Rattus norvegicus: one gene and its partners. The protein of the gene in region 1 purifies or fractionates together with the protein of each later gene. This does not show direct contact. Links are inferred from orthologs where the notes say so. Each region holds a gene or a part of one and is shown in the gene's direction. Other genes may lie near its edges. The genes, in order: Med1, Cdk8, Polr2j and Cdk19.

Evidence for each region.
Region 2: the proteins of Med1 (region 1) and Cdk8 purify together in Homo sapiens (affinity purification with mass spectrometry; 14 studies listed by BioGRID and IntAct, counting the BioPlex papers as one, with this or other methods). This does not show direct contact. The link is inferred for Rattus norvegicus from reciprocal best matches to the Homo sapiens genes MED1 and CDK8.
Region 3: the proteins of Med1 (region 1) and Polr2j purify together in Homo sapiens (affinity purification with mass spectrometry; 3 studies listed by BioGRID and IntAct, with this or other methods). This does not show direct contact. The link is inferred for Rattus norvegicus from reciprocal best matches to the Homo sapiens genes MED1 and POLR2J.
Region 4: the proteins of Med1 (region 1) and Cdk19 purify together in Homo sapiens (affinity purification with mass spectrometry; 7 studies listed by BioGRID and IntAct, counting the BioPlex papers as one, with this or other methods). This does not show direct contact. The link is inferred for Rattus norvegicus from reciprocal best matches to the Homo sapiens genes MED1 and CDK19.

The regions. Positions count from the first base shown.
Region 1 is NC_086028.1:83,654,401-83,658,091, reverse strand, and holds part of Med1 (mediator of RNA polymerase II transcription subunit 1), read left to right. Parts: intron 1-202; coding exon 203-314; intron 315-1,031; coding exon 1,032-1,156; intron 1,157-1,628; coding exon 1,629-1,747; intron 1,748-3,691. UniProt on the Homo sapiens protein: Component of the Mediator complex, a coactivator involved in the regulated transcription of nearly all RNA polymerase II-dependent genes.
Region 2 is NC_086030.1:13,886,954-13,890,644, reverse strand, and holds part of Cdk8 (cyclin-dependent kinase 8), read left to right. Parts: intron 1-3,225; coding exon 3,226-3,336; intron 3,337-3,691.
Region 3 is NC_086030.1:26,182,401-26,186,723, reverse strand, and holds the start of Polr2j (DNA-directed RNA polymerase II subunit RPB11-a), read left to right. Parts: upstream 1-1,522; 5' UTR 1,523-1,574; coding exon 1,575-1,627; intron 1,628-4,160; coding exon 4,161-4,250; intron 4,251-4,323. UniProt on the Homo sapiens protein: Core component of RNA polymerase II (Pol II), a DNA-dependent RNA polymerase which synthesizes mRNA precursors and many functional non-coding RNAs using the four ribonucleoside triphosphates as substrates.
Region 4 is NC_086038.1:45,323,437-45,327,771, forward strand, and holds the start of Cdk19 (cyclin-dependent kinase 19), read left to right. Parts: upstream 1-1,474; 5' UTR 1,475-1,733; coding exon 1,734-1,861; intron 1,862-4,335.

The DNA.
Region 1 (3,691 bases):
TGTTTTTTCCTGTGCTTTGTTCTGTTTTTGAGACTGAGTCTAAACTTGTAGCTGAGGTGGGCCTCTAACTCAAATCCATTTTTCTTTCTCATTCTGCAGAATGCTGGGTGGACACACAGGACCAGCATTCCTCTCTTTTTAGTGCTGAGATCTTTTTCCTACTTATGAGGTAGAAAATCTTTTTTTCTTTTTCTATTCCCAGTTCCTCGGTCTTTGGGAATGAATGCCTCAGTGACAATTGAAGGAACCTCTGCTATGTACAAACTCCCAATTGCCCCATTAATTATGGGGTCACACCCAGCTGACAACAAATGGTAAGATACAGTTTTAAAGTAGCGAAGTCTGTTTTTCAGCTTCAAGCGCAGTGTGAGCCATGTTTTATTTGTCTTGTCTTCCTGGAATGTTTAGATGTTGCCCTTTGCGTCCGTGCACGGACTTTACTCCTGTTCTTTACTGGAGTGTGTCTACTTGACACACACACTTGTACACATTTGTTTTTAAATCGTTTAATTTTTTTATTCTGTGTGTGTGTGTGTGTGTGTGTGTGTGTGTGTGTCCGCGCGCGTGTTGCCTGTATATTGTTCTTTGCACCATCTTTGTACCTGGTGCCATCAGAGGCTGGAAGAGGCCATTAGATCCTCTGGGGCTAATGATGGTATGAGCTGCCTCGTGGGTGCTGGGGATTGAATACAGGTCTTTTAGAATACCAGATAGCACCATTAAACACCAAGCTATGCCAGTATCCCCTGTAGACCATAGTCTTTGCTCTGAATAAATGAGTTGGAGTTTTGTGCTGGTTTTTGAACCCAGGACTACAAATACCTGCACACAGAGCTGGACCGTGAGCCCCACTGTACATACTTAATTAAGTACTTCACAATTAACAAGGTAATATATTTTGAAATTGCATCGAGGATAGTAGAAAAGTAAGCTTTTGATAGACCTTGTGGGTTTGTGTAATATATACATGTCTGAATAAATGTGTTCATAGTTTTCAAAATAGAAAATTTTCCCCTCTTCTTTCTTTGAAGGACCCCTTCTTTCTCTGCAGTCACTAGTGCCAACAGTGTTGATCTTCCTGCGTGTTTCTTCTTGAAATTTCCCCAGCCAATCCCAGTATCTAAAGCATTTGTTCAGAAACTGCAAAATTGCACGGGTAAGCTCTGTTTTTTAAAATGTTTGCCAGCCTGTAATAAAGGAAGGTTTACCTGTTAAGATAAAACTTGTTAAAGTGAGAGTGGAAAACATTAGACTATCTTAAACAGCTTACAGTCCTCAGGCCTCAAGGACGTGCTACTGAGTACAGGTGTTAGGACATTACTAGTAGGTAGTACTAGTGCTCTCTGAGAACTTTTGGATGTGGGTGAAGGCATGGAAAGTGCAAGAGAGAACAGTGGAGCTGTCTGGAGAGATGGCTCAGCGGCTAAGAGCACTGACTTCTCTTCCAGAGGTCCTGGGTTCAATTCCCAGCAACCACGTGGTGGCTCCCAACCATCTGTAATGAGATCCAGATCCAATGTCCCCTTCTGATGTGACTGAAGACAGCAACAGTGTACTCGTATACATGAAATAAATAAATCTTTTTTAAAAAATAATGTGACCATTATAAATAGTCCTTATATTTTCAGGAATCCCGTTGTTTGAGACTCCGCCTACTTACCTGCCCCTCTATGAACTCATCACTCAGTTTGAGCTGTCAAAGGATCCTGACCCTTTACCTTTGAATCACAACATGCGATTTTACGCTGTAAGTAGGCCCTGTGGGTTTGCAACAATGTTCTTTACAGCATTAGTCAGGTTGATGGCTTTCTTTTAGATGGCTTAATTTTTAGTTGGGCAAAAAAAAGTCATCTTAAACATACTAAAGCAAAAGAGAATGAGCTTTGAGTTCAGAAACAACCACCTACATTTCTGTCTATATCAATTTATGTGCATCAGTGTTTTGCTTATATTTGATTAAGTATATGTATAACCTGCATGCCTGGTGTCAAAGAAGTAAGAAGATACCTAAGTTAGCATTACGGACGTCTGTGAGTGGCCATGTGGATGCTGGGAACTGAACCTAGGTCCTTTGGAAGAGCAGCAAGTGGCTGTTAACCAAGGAGCATTCTTTCTTACCCTCTTTGTTCTAGACAGGTTCTCATGTAACCCAGGCTGGCATTGAACCTAGCAGAGGGTGATCTTAAACGTCCTCTAGGTTGCTGTGACTATAGGCATGATGAGAAGTGTTTACAGAGGAAGCCAGGACTGGTGGAACATAGTATATGGGGAGTGGAGGCTTAAGGATTCCTCGACTTAGGGGTAGCAAAACCTTTTCTCAAAAAAGCAATAGAAAAAATGTTGTATCAGAATTAAAAATCTTTTAATGCTGTCTTGAACTTTTAGAAGGTTGAAAGATATTAAGATTTTTTATTTTTGGGGGCTGGAGAGATGGCTCAGTGGTTAAGAGCACTGACTCCTCTTCCAGAGGTCCTGAGTTCAATTCCCAGCAACCACATGGTGGCTCACAACCATCTGTAATGGGATCTGATGTCCTTTTCTGGTGTGAACTAAGACAGCTACAGTGTACTTGTATATAATAAATAAATCTTAAAAAAAAAAAAAAGATTTTTCTTTTTATTCTTTTGAGGGCATGGTGCCACACCTTTATCCCTGCACTTATGAGGCAGAGGCAGGTGGATATCTGTGAGTTCAAGGCCAGCCAGGGCTATAGAGAAAAGCTCTTAGTTAGGATTTTATTGCTGTGAAGACACCATGACCAAGGCGACTCTTATAAAGGACATTTAATTGGGGCTGGATTACAGGTTCAGAGGTGTGGTCCATTATCATCAAGGTGGGAACCACGGCAGCATCTAGACCTGAGAGTTCTACATCTTCCTCCAAAGAACTAGAAGCAGGCTGTTTCCTGGAAGCTAGGAGGAGGGTCTCAAAGCCCACCCTCACAGTGACACTCTTCCAACAAGGCCACACCTCCTGATTGTGCTACTCCCTGAGGCATGCACATTTAAACCACCTCAGAAAGCCTTCTCAGAGTGGGAGGAAGAATTGTTTCTTAGGCCAAGTGTGAACAGTGAGGAACCCCCCACCCCTTTTTTAAAGATTTATTTATTTTATGTATATGAGTACACTGTCCCTGTCTTCAGACACACTAGTAGAGGGCATCAAATCAGATCAGAGATGGTTATTAGTTACTATGTGGTTGCTGGGAATTGAACTCAGTCCCTCTGGAAGAACAGTCAGTGTTCTTAACCACTGAGCCATCTCTCCAGCCCCAAGATCCTGTCTTAAAAGGGAAAAATGGTTCCTTTTAATTTACTATCTTTATGTATATGAGTGTTTTCCTTGCATTTGTGCCCACATGAAAGCCAGAAGAGGTTGTCAGATTCTCCTGAAATTGGAATTACAGACTGAACTGTCCTGTGGATGGATGGGTGCTGGGAGCCAAATCTAAGTTGTCTGAAAGAGCAGCATGGGCCCTTAACTGCTGAGCCATCTCTTCATCCCTAGCCCATTGAGTGCTACAGCAAGAACCCTTAACTACAGGGGGAGGACAAATGCTATGTATATAAATTATGAAAGGCCCCGACTTCCTATGGACTTGAATTTGATATGAATGCTTAGCTTATACAGCATTGAAGCTCTCTAGTTCTAGCTATAGTATCATTATACAGAATGTTTTAAGATACAGCTT
Region 2 (3,691 bases), on another chromosome or scaffold:
GTTCATTTTTCTTTCCTGTCTGTTGCTGTTGATTCATGAGCGTTTGTTTCCTCCACTCCTCTTACCTCTTTTCTTCTATTTTGGGCTTGTGCTTCTCCATTTTGCTAAGTGGTTTATTGGCTTGTAAACTCTTCTTTCCTACTATAAATATTTAAAATTATAATTCCCTCCAACCTGTGTTTTACTTTCATGCCACACGTTTTGTGATGTTTTATTGTTTTATTATAGTACAGAATATTTTCAGTTTTCTTTTTTTCTTTCTTTGTATCCATTAGTTACTTAGAAATCAGTTGCTTACTTTATAAATGTACAAGGAGGCTTTTCTGGATACGTTATCATTGCTGGTTGTTATTGATTTTCATTGTGTTGAGAAAAGATTGCTTTTGAGGTACGTACCGAGATGCTGATGAAATGGTATATATACTATCTGGTGGAGAGAGGAATGAACTTGAATGTACATACAGTGACTGTAAGTGACAGGCTTAACTCAGGGAGACCGTGTAATAAAAGGCAAGGGAGGAAACCAAGTCCATCTTTGTTTGCCCTGACACCTCCTCTTACTAACATGCTCACACTCATTCAGTTTTTTCATATCTATTACAAATAAAAATCTTAGGATTCCCGTTGTTCGTTGTGATCTGTTGCCACCCCTATGCAGGCTAGACTGTGACACACAGCAGCATGGCTTAGATTTTGTGCAGCCATTCTTCAGGAAGGAGGAGAGAACCTTCCAGGGGAGGTGTCCTCACAACACTTCCATTTTGCTGTTTGTCACATTCCTCACCAAAGTTTCCTGTGGACTGGAATCCCTTTAGTTCAGGGTTCTGGCCAACTGTGCAGAAATCAGCTGGCCCCCAGTATCCCAGAGAGTGTCTGATAGATGGTGCAGGCCCATGGTTAGTCTGCTTTCCCAACACACTTCTCCAACCTCAGCATCTGTTTCCATCTTTTTCTAAGAGTTTGGGAAGATCGAAGTTAAAGAAAGAGTCTACAGTGTAATTGTCTTTTGGAAATAGATTTGTCATAATTCAGGTTCGGTTTATCTATCACCGTACTCGAGGTCTACATTCAGAACCTGTTTTTGCATTAGGAGTTGTTAATGTTGGAATGGTGTCAGAGGTGGAGACGGTAGTTGGTAACATACTTGCCTCCCGGTCACTGAGACCTGTCGAGCTCTCGGGATTCAAGTAGAAATGACTGCCAGTGCTGTGGCGGGGCAGGCTTGTCATCCCAGTGCTCAGGGAGTAAGACAGGAGGCTCCCTGTGTCCTCCCGCTGTCCAGCCTTGCACTGGTGAGCTTCTAGCCCATGAGAGACCTTGTCTCAGAAGGAGGTGAGGTGGGTAGCAGACCTGAGGATGACCCCAGAGGTTGTCTTCTGGCCTGCACACACACATGCACTCCACATGTACTCCACAAACTTAGAACTCTTTAAGAAACACTGCTGTTTTGAAAATATAACTAGTTTTCCTACCTACTTTTTCCTCATTTCTGAGTGGCATATATTGTCGTGGTGTGCTTTTAAATATTTTTTGTACAAGTTTAAGTTAAGTATGCCCATTGTGGTAAATCAGGTTCACAGTGAATAATAAATTTGAAGTAGATATATATTCAAAACATTTAAAAATTTTCCCCCACTGGTAAAATTGGAAAAGCAAGTGGTTTCTGTGAATAAAGTTGGTATGGCTATACCTTTTGTTTTGTGAAGATTAACCAGTTCTTTAAAAAATGAAAAAAAAATTCTATTAAAGGCCAGTTTAGTTCCCGGGACCCACCTGTCTCCACTGACCGCTCCTCAGTACACATGTGCGCTGTCGTGTCGGTCTTCCTTTTTTTTTTTTTCCCCCGGAGCTGGGGACCGAACCCAGGGCCTTACGCTTGCTAGGCAAGCGCTCTACCACTGAGCTAAATCCCCAACCCCGTGTCGGTGCATTTTGATGGCTTTATCAGAGTACAGTACAGTGAGGAGTGTCTCCATATAATGGGATGAATGCTCTTACCTATAAAAAAGGAAAAATCAAAACCAAAACCCCTGCTACATGCTACAACATGGGTGGACCTTGAAGATAGCACTGAGTGAATGAACTAGATGTGAAAGGATGAGTGATGCTGGGTGGATAAACAGCTTTCAAGGTCCTGTTTGACCCCTAGAACCTACAGAAAAGCTAGGCATGGCTGTACCTGCTGGCGCTTACAATCCCAGTTCAGAGGAGGAGGTAGGAGCACAGATTCCTGGGGCAACAGCCAGCCCGGCCTCAGTGGTAAATTTCAGGCCACTGAGAGCTCCTGTCTCAGGGAGGGAGGGAGGGAGGGAGAGGTGGGCTGGGGAGACGGCTCAGTGGTAAAGCCCTCGCCGCTCTTCTAGAGGACCTGAGTTTGATCACCAGAACCCACATCCGGTGATTTATTTCTCTAGCTCCACAAGTAGCAGATACACATGCACACATAAAATCAACCAGTCACATGGGCACCGCAGGAGTGAGCCAGAGCTCTCCTTCCTCCCACTGGGGGTTACAGGTCCGTGCCTGCGCACATGAGGAAGATGAGGTGTTATGAGAACCCACCATGGCTAGGTGTCTACCACAGGAACTCTTAGGGACAGGTAGTAGAGTTTACCTAGACCTGGATCAGTGGTAGCATTTTCTACTTGGAATGTTTAAAAATGTGTAAATAGTAGTGATGGTTCTACAACACTTATATTTAATGCCACCCATTTGTAGATTTTAAAGTGGCTAAAACTGTAATCTTGGTTAAAAAGTTAAAACCAAGTCAAGCAGCAAATGACAGATTTACTGTTACCCTCTTTTCAGTGTCTTCTTCTGTCATGAAGCACCTGTGTAGCAGTCATACTGAGTGGGTGCTGATTGAATGCTTAGTATCAGTGAGCATTGACTTGCATTGCTTTTACGTTGCAGCTGGTCTGGGTGGGTGGGTGGCTGGGTAGTGTCTGGGATGGAGCCCGGCTTTGTTGCCCAAGCTAACTGTGGATTCCTGATATCAAGTAATCTTTCTGCTTGAGCATTCATAATCTGAGACCTTTGTTCACTTCCTAGCAGCCAGGTAGAAATGGCTGCCACGGCGGTAGCAGACATATTATATCCTTGTGTACATGTATGCACTACCACACCTAATTTGTGTGTGTGTGTGTGTGTGTGTGTGTGTGTGTGTGTGTGTGTGTGTAGTATTATTTTGTGTTAAATTTTGAATGGATCTCCTTTGTTTTGTAGTTACTTCGAGAGCTTAAGCACCCAAACGTCATCTCTCTTCAGAAGGTGTTTCTGTCTCATGCTGATCGGAAAGTATGGCTTCTCTTTGACTATGCTGAACATGACCTCTGGGTAAGGTGGACTGCTGGTAGACAGGCCATTGTTTTCAGTTAGGCTTGAGAGTGACTAAACAGCTTCCACTGCACTAGAAATCACTTTACAGAGTAACAGTCGATGTATTCCCAGCCTGGAGGCTTTTGCTTTGTTCAGTGGGTTGAGCTCCCTTACCACAATGCTAGACAGCAGAAGTGTCTCAGAGTTTTGATGTTTCAGATAAGAGGGCACTTACTTGCACCTATTTAATAAGACCTCTTGGAGACTGACATCATGTCTAAACTTGAAGCTCACTTGTGTTTTAATTTCATATTTACCTTATACATATAGCCTGAAGGAAATTTCATGCATCGTTTATAATAATCTTGTATGT
Region 3 (4,323 bases), on another chromosome or scaffold:
AGGATGTGTAACCCAGCATGGGGAATGGCCCTGAGCCTTCTGGGAGCTGACATCATCGTCTTCACTTGATTCCTATGACATCATCCAAGCTACACAGTGATGCTTTAGTACTTAGATACCAAGGGATAGGGTGGCTCATGCCCGTGACTCCAACGCTTGGGAGCCTGAGTCTGTATTAGTTACTGTTTTTGTTTTTGTGTCTAAAAACTGGACAAAAGTGCTGGTGGCCCATGCCTTTAAATGGCAGCACTCTTGGAGACAGAGGCAGGCAGTTTTCTGAGTTCGAGGCCAGCCTGGTCTACAGAGAAAGTTTCAGGACAGCCAGTGCTGCACAGAAACACTTGTCTCGAAAAACCAACAAAACCAAGACAGCGACAACAAACGGACAGAAGCATCTTACGGAAAGGTACAGCTCATCACAATGCAGATGTCATAGCAACAGGATTCATAGCAGCTGATTGTGTCTGCAGCCAGGAAGCTGTAGTCTGACACCTTAGCCTCTCGGGTGATGCCACACACATTAATGATGCCTTCCTCAGCCAAACCTGTCTAAAATCTCAAAGACATAACCAAAAGTTCGTTGTTATTATTTTTTATTTTTTCGTTGTTATTATTATGACTACGATTATTATTATGCATTGTGAGTGCATACGTGTTCAAGTGCATGCCTTGAAGGGAGGTTGGAGGAGTCTGTTCCCAACTTCCACCTCGTGGGTCCTGAGGACTGAATTTAGGTAATCAGGCTTGGTCACACTCTCCCTTGCTCACTGGACTGTCTTGCTGGCCCCTCCTAGAGGTTTGTTTCCGCGGTAATTCTAAATTTCAAGATGAACCATCACGAAGGCTGGAGAAATGGCTCGGCAGTTAAGAGCCTTACTGTTTCTGCAGGGGACTGGAGTTCGATTCCCAGCACCCACTTGGTGGTGGTGGGGCTCACAACCACCTGTAACTCATGCTCCAGTGGACCCCACTCTCTTATGGTCTCCAAAGGCTAGACCTACATATACGTGCCCACACAGACATGCAAATAAAAATCTTTAAAAACAGGAAAAATAAAAAAGACTGCCACAGAGACTGCTGAAAAATGGCGAGGTGCAAAGCTTTCATCGTGTTTTTAGTTTATCTGTGTGCTCAAGAGAGGATGCACTGGCATCCTCAAACTCCTCCCCAACCTTTACACACCTTCCTGTTCCCCTGGTCCTCATCTAGAAGGCTTCATAAGGACGCTAGTGTCGGCCCACCCGGGGGTCCTGCAGCGGCAGCCACTGGGACTCCTATTCCCATTCAGTCGGTGAAACGGAGACAGTAACAAGTGGTATAAGTCCCGGCGCTGGAGTATGCGCCAAGACACTCAGACAGGGCTTCTAGACTGACGCATGCCCACAGCTCGCAGTCTCCTGGGCCTTGCCCGCGCCTGCGTAAGGTCATCCGGCCCGCCAGGGGGCGCAGGGCCAGGTGCTTACTCTGAATGGCTGAGGCTGAGGCTGAGTAACCCGGAAGTGGTCGCGCTCCGGGGTTCTGTGGGCGGAAGGCGGCTGCGGGTTGGTGTCTGGGAGTGAGAGCGCCTTGCTAGGATGAACGCCCCTCCGGCCTTCGAGTCGTTCTTGCTCTTCGAGGGCGAGAAGAAGTAAGTGGAGACCGGCTGAGGCGGGGACGGTTGTATAGGAGCCTGCCGGCCGTCAGCTTCAGCAAAGCGCCGAGTTGCTCCTGCCTGGGGAAACCGAGGCGGGCTTTGCTTTGAGCATTCTGTTCTGCTCAGTGCGTGTCTGCCCAACTTCAGGCAGTGGTGCGAAGCATTTGCGAATGCATGCATTTTTTGCAGTGGGAAACTGAGGCTTTGGGACATTGACTTGCTCCAGACACTTGGCTCATGATGGCAGCTGTGAAAGGACAAAGACACAGTTCCTTACACTCCTCATGTCTGTATCAGCCAATCAATAAATAATGAAACTCCCCAAGGAGATTTTCCGAGTTTGTCTGAACAGTGTACAGTGTACACTGCAGACCTGTAACTGACACTTTGTATTCCCTAAAGACTTTTTTTTTTTAAATTATTTTATCTGAGTACACTGTTGCTCTCTTCAGACACACCAGAAGAGGGCACAGATCCCATTACAGATGATTGTGAGCCACCCTGTGGTTGCTGGGAATTGAACTCAGGACCCATGGAAGAGCAGTCAGTGCTCTTAACCACTGAGCCATCTCTCCTGCCCCCTAAGAGATTTCTATGCAGGGGTTTTTGTTTTACATTTGATAGCTACTTCAGCCTTCTTGAGAGCTGAGAGCCCTGTTGTTATCCCATCGGCATGAGCATTTGGCCATGTCTGGAAGCGGTTCTGGTTGTCCTGAGTGGGTTGCTATTGGCAGCCGGCGGGTAGAGGCAACAGATGCTGTTAGCGACCCTAGATGTAGTAGACAGCCTCTCAGAAAAGGAGGATTGGGTCCAAAATGCCTGTGACCCGGGCTGGCAGGATGGCTAGGGTACAGCGCCCACAGGCAAACCTGATGACCTGATGACCCTGGGACCACTATGGTACAAGGAGAGAGCTGACGATCACAGGCTGTCCTCTTATAGGAGCGTGGACAAAGGAAAGAAATATTTGTGTACTGAGTTTGAAAAATTCTGCTTTAGAAAAAAGCAGTAATCCTTAGCTGAGTGGTGAATTTTTTTTTTCTTTTTTTCGGAGCTGGGGACCGAACCCAGGACCTTGCGCTTGCTAGGCAAGTGCTCTACCGCTGAGCTAAATCCCCAACCCCTGAGTGGTGAATTTTAACCCACTTTTAATCCCAGTACTTGGGAGACAGAGGCAAGAGGATCGAGGCCAGCCTGGTCTACAGATCAAAGTTACAGGACAGTCAGAGCCACACAGAGAAATGCCGTCTCAAAAAAAAAAAAACCAACAAAAACAAAACCTGCTTAAGTAACTGCTCCCTGGTGTATAGATAGGAGGCCAGCACAGGGCAGATGTGTTTTCTTGTTTGCTTTTGTCATTTGGGGATTGAACATAGGGTCTGCCCCATGCTAGGTTGGTGCTCTATGCTAAGCTATATTCCAGCTCCACCCCCTACCCCCAACCCCATTTTACAGTTTTTGATCGGTTCGGGAGATGGCTCAGTGGGTAAAACATTTACTGAGGACTTGTGTGTAGATCCCCAGAAGTCGTATAAAAACTGCTGAGTTCGGGGTTGGGGATTTAGCTCAGTGGTAGAGCGCTTACCTAGGAAGCGCAAGGCCCTGGGTTCGGTCCCCAGCTCCGAAAAAAAGAACCAAACAAAAAACAAACAAAAAAAAAAAACTGCTGAGTTCTGCTTCCAGTGTTCCTCCAAGGACATGGGAAGTGGTTACAGGAGGGTCAGCTAGCATGGTTTATCCCCATGGCAAATGAGACCCTAGCCTAAGCAAAGAGAAAAGCCAGGACGACGGCTGAGGTTTTTCTTTATCCTCCTGCCTTAGCCTCCCAGGTTGCTGGATTACTGGTCTTATCTACCAGGCAGGCCAACTTTGTTTGAATGTTGGGAATGGTAGAGCTGAGAGACCCAGAGGCTTATACATGGGAGGAAAATGGTCGGCTATTGAACCATGCCAGAGCTCTTGCAGGGTCCTTAATGGGTGAGCAGACTGAAAACGGCTTCCAAGAGCTAGACCTATAGCTCAGTGGTTGAGGGCTCTGCCTATCATGCTCAAAACCCAAGGTTCAATTCCCAGTAGCACTGGGTCTAGTGGAGCTTGGACTTGCAGAATGATGGATGTGGGCCTGCCTTGATTGTTAGGGGTTAAGTGTCTCCTGACACCCCCTGCCCCCAAGTCAGGGTTCTCTGTGTAGCCCTGGCTGTCCTGGAACTCACTCTGTAGACCAGGCTGGCCTCTGACTCAGAGACCCACCTGCCTCTGCCTCCTAGACGCTGGGATCAAAGGTGGGCACCACCACTGCCAGCTGGTTCTTGTCTTCTTAGTAAGAACTTAGTCAAGAGCTAGTTTAAGGGAACTGTTCGTCAGCGCATACGTTGGGAAGGGCCAGGTACCTTAATTTCTGAGGTAGTGGGAACAGCCCAACTGCAGGTTCAAGAATGTCTGAGCACAAATGGGGACATTGTGATGCTCAGGGCCAGTATCCCAAGGCTGGATGTGGGCTTGAGCTGTTGCCTCTGTCTCTTTCCAGAATCACCATTAACAAGGACACCAAGGTGCCCAACGCTTGCTTGTTCACCATCAACAAAGAAGACCACACTCTGGGGAACATCATTAAATCGTAAGTCTCCCCCCACACTGGGTGAGTACCACACTCTGCCAGTACCACCAGGGCTCTGTAGGCTGAGCACATG
Region 4 (4,335 bases), on another chromosome or scaffold:
TCCAAAGTCCTGGGTTCAAGAGATTCTCCTTGACTCTGCTAAGAGCAGCAGGGACTACAAGTGTGTGCCACCATGCCTGGTCTAGTATGCATGGGAGTCCTACACGATGAAGTCGAAAAGCTAGATGATTAAAGCTCAAGACATACAGAAAGGAACAAGAATTGGAAATTTTAGTAGGTAGCAGAGATAAATGAAGAGAGAGGGAAGGAAATGAAGAGGGAATAATAAGTCGATTCTTTTAGATGGCCTCCCGGGCAAGGTTGTCTACGAATAGCTAAGCTGCCTTTCTGACACAGATACCTTATCAAATTTCCCTTATAAATTTAACCTTGTTACAAAAATGCTGCCTTTTATTTTAGGTAGTGGAGGGGAGCTGAAACGTGCGTGTCAGATGGATATCAATTCTTTTCGTTTAAAAGCAATCAGTGTGCAGAGGGACACATTTTTAGCAAGGCACTTTCCAGGCTTTTACAGTCCTACTTTGAGGTGACGGGTTCCGAGCTTCAGACACCATAACGAATGAACATCATGAGTAAGATAAATACCTAAAGCCCCTAGGTGAGCCTTGCCATTACGCACAGACTGTAAAAAACGCTTTACAAGCCAGCAAAAATGATTGTTTCTAAAACGCTGCATTTTTGCAATCTTCCAGGCGCTTTAATTGTTCTCAGACAGATGGTTAAAGCTCGGCTACCGCACCCGCATATGCTAGGATAAAACCCGACTACAGCGCCAAGAAAAAGATGATTGGCTGTGGGCCCTAGAAGTTACACGGTTCTCCTAGCAAGAGCTGAGAAACCGCTGAATGTTCAGGTTTTGAAATAGGGTTTTTGCATCGTAAAGAAACAAGATTAACCTATCAGGAAGAACCGAGCACATCCAATTACCAATCAAGAGCGGGACAAAAGCCAAAGCCGGAGGATACCCAGGCACCAAAGAGGACGCCACTCTTCAGTCTCTGCCAATAAGACGAGGCAAGGGGCGGGGCAACAAGAGGATCAATTGCCCAAGAAAACAAACAATGTGTAGTACAACTGTCTAAACCTCAGTCCTAAGCTCCGGGTGCGACGGAATGAGCTCCTGAGCAAGGCTCTCATGAGCTGCTTGCCGCTCTTCTAGCCCAAGGATTGTCAGAGCCAGGTTGCTTCTTCCCGGCTCAACAAACGCTTCCTTCCCGCCAGCTCCCACAGGCTCGCAAAAAGCCCGCTGCAACTTTGCGCTACAGTTTACAGGAACAGGGAGTCGCGCGCTACCTGAGGGGGTGGGGCGGCGGCAGTGCGCAGGCGTACACGCCTTGTGGAGGCGAGGCCGAAAAGACTCAATGAACTCTGGGAATTGTATTCTTCGCGCTCGAGGGGGTAGCACAACTCACCAGGCCTCTTGAACTACACTTCCCAGGAGCGCTCGCGACGTCGGGGCGGGCCGTTTGGTTCGTTAATGAGTTCGAGAAAGCCGCGGCGCGGCCCACCAGGTTCCAAAACAAGGAAATGAAGGGAGGAGGCGGGACTGTGGGTGCCTGCGGGAGCCGCCGCCGCCGCCGCGGAGGAGGAGGAGGCGGAGGAGGTGGCTGCCGCGGCCGCCGAGGAGTCCCTTGCTGAAGGCAGACCGCGGAGCGGCGGGCGGCGCGCGCGCGCCCGAGCGACGGCTGTTCGAGAAGTGGAGCGGCGGCGGCGGAGGAGGGACTGAGTGGCGGCGGCCCCCGCGTCCCGGTTTCTCTATGGGGGAAGCAGACAATGGATTATGATTTCAAGGCGAAGCTGGCGGCGGAGCGGGAGCGGGTGGAGGATCTGTTTGAGTACGAAGGGTGCAAAGTGGGACGCGGCACCTACGGGCACGTCTACAAGGCGAGGCGGAAAGATGGGTAAGAGCGCGGGCGGGGAGTGGGCTCGTCCGGTCTCCTCCACTGCTGAGACCCGGAGGGCTGGGTGGGTCGGAGCCCACGGGAAGAGGCGGCGTGGGTCGCAGAGCGACGTCCTGGGGCCAACTCGGAGGCACTGGTGCTGCCGCCCCCCGCTGGCCGGTCGCGCCCCTCCAAGTCGCACAGCGTAGCCCCGTCGGGGGCGTCGGTCCCGCCTGGAGTCACTGTTGCGAGCTTAACAGCGGGCGGCGGGACCCGGTGGAGACCGCGCTTGGAGGTGGAGTTTAGGGGTCTGGTCCCGGGGGGACTCTCGAGGGCTTGGCTGAAGAGTTACCGGTTTGGCCCTGTGCTGGTGACGGTCGTGGTGGAACTTCCAATCGGCGCAGCGCCTTCCCGGGGCGGCGGTTTGAAAGCTCGCGGGGGCGCCTCCCGTCTGGTGGCCCTGCGCTTGGGGTCCTGACTGGCCCCTCTGGTCTGACTTCCTCGACGTTGCCAACCCAGCCTACATCCCTGGTGTTTACCTGGGGACTTCCCGATCCTGCTCCCGATTCCCACACTTTAATATTTTGAATTCAGCACTCTGAAGGTGGACCCTGGAGAGAGATTAGCTCTATATTACAAACTTCAAGTGCTCTCTGGTTGGTTACCTTTCCTGCCTCGTGATTATTTTAGGTAAACCCCTCCCCAGCCCTTATAAGATAGGGTCTCTCTCTGTGCACCCTGGTTAGCCTGCAACTCAGAGATCCGCCTGCCTCTGCCTCTCAAGTACTGTGATTAAAAGGCGTATGCCACCACACTCGGCCCATTTCTCTTTTCTTCAGGAAGAAATCTTGAGTATTAATATTCTCCAGTTCTCATCCTCTGTCAAATGGCTGTGAGCTTTGGTTTATCGAGAACCTAGACCACCAAGAACAGAAAACGGAAGTGACAGGCTTGGGCCTGGACCACCGTTTTCCTAGTTGAGGGGATCTATAGGAATCTCTTGGGAAGTCTTTCTGGATTGTTATAGCAGTAAAGGACAAGTTGGATAAAGCATCGAGAATGTACCCCTCGGGCCAGAGGGCAGACCAGTTTGTAAGAACAGGACAGGTGGAACCAAACTTGTGACCTGGCAGTGGTGGGTTTTGTCACCTTGTCCCAATTCCGGAAGGAATTCCTTTCTCTTAGAAAAAGATTCAAGCAACTGTCAGACTATACAAAAGGGAGACTGTGACTGCTGGAGCATTTGAAAAGCAGAGCATCAGCACACCTCATTGAAAGTGCTTCTTGGCTGTGCTTTGATAAAGTTGGTGAGGAGCTCCAGCATCAAAGCAAGCAGTGCGTTTGCTAATTTTATAAGAGGAAAACCAGAACACAATCATATGAAGTGTTTCATACATGTACCTGGAAAACTACAGGTAGTGTGTGGGTTTCAAGGATGATGATTAATTGCTGTTGCAGTAGAACTGTACAGGCCAGGCCACTCAGTTGTCTGAGCTGTTTCTTTTAATTACCACGTGTCCCCAAGTGCACACCGGGCGCTGTAAGGCACTATACTTGACTTACACTTTGGTTTTGGAATATCCACTCTACTGGTTAAGTTGGTGTTCCAGTGGGAATCTACACAGGATGTTCGGGGAAGGCAGATCCGCTGCTCTGATTGGACAGTGTTGTTACACTGTTGGTCTGGATTTTCCCTATCTCCCAGAGACTGTGCTAACTTTGTTTTTACACTTATGTTTTTATTTGCCCTGAAACTTTGAGAGAAATTAACAGTTCTGATTCTGAATTGCATAGAATGGCTGGGTTTACAACAGAAACACTTCTTATTTCTACTTATTTTTCAGTATGTCTCTATAATAAGGATATTGATTCAAATACACTTATTCTTTGAGTGAAATCGGTAAAGTAGAATACATAAGGTCAGTTTTTATATTTTCAAAGTAGAATTAAAAAACAAACAAAACATTTAGAGCTAGGCAAGCACTGGCAGTTGTCTGAGTTCCAGGCCAGACAGGCTACACAGAGAAACCCTGTCTCAACGAAACCAAACCAAAGCAAAAACCAACCAACAAAAACCGCCTAGAATATGAAAATATCTTGTCAGACCGTTGTACCACATGTTCTCACGTAAAACAAGCCATGATAGGCTTTATTTTTGTGGATCAGTGTCTGGTTACGATTCCTGGCTTTACACTAACACTTGCGTCTCTGGTGATTTGGCAGTGGGATTAGTTTTATGTTCATCACTAATCAGCCATTTGACAGAACAAAAGGTTTTAGTGGTAGTTCTCAAAGGTGACACAGATTTGGATGGTAAAGGATTCTATTGTCTGGTCATTCTAAATTACAGTCCCCTCTTTTTACATTTTGGTAAGCTCCGGGAAAATGAGTAGTGCTTGATGCTATTTTAGGGAGCAAGAGAGATGAGGCCTGCTAGAGAGAAATAACTCTAGCGTGTATAACACTATTACATATACATACATATATGCATTTAT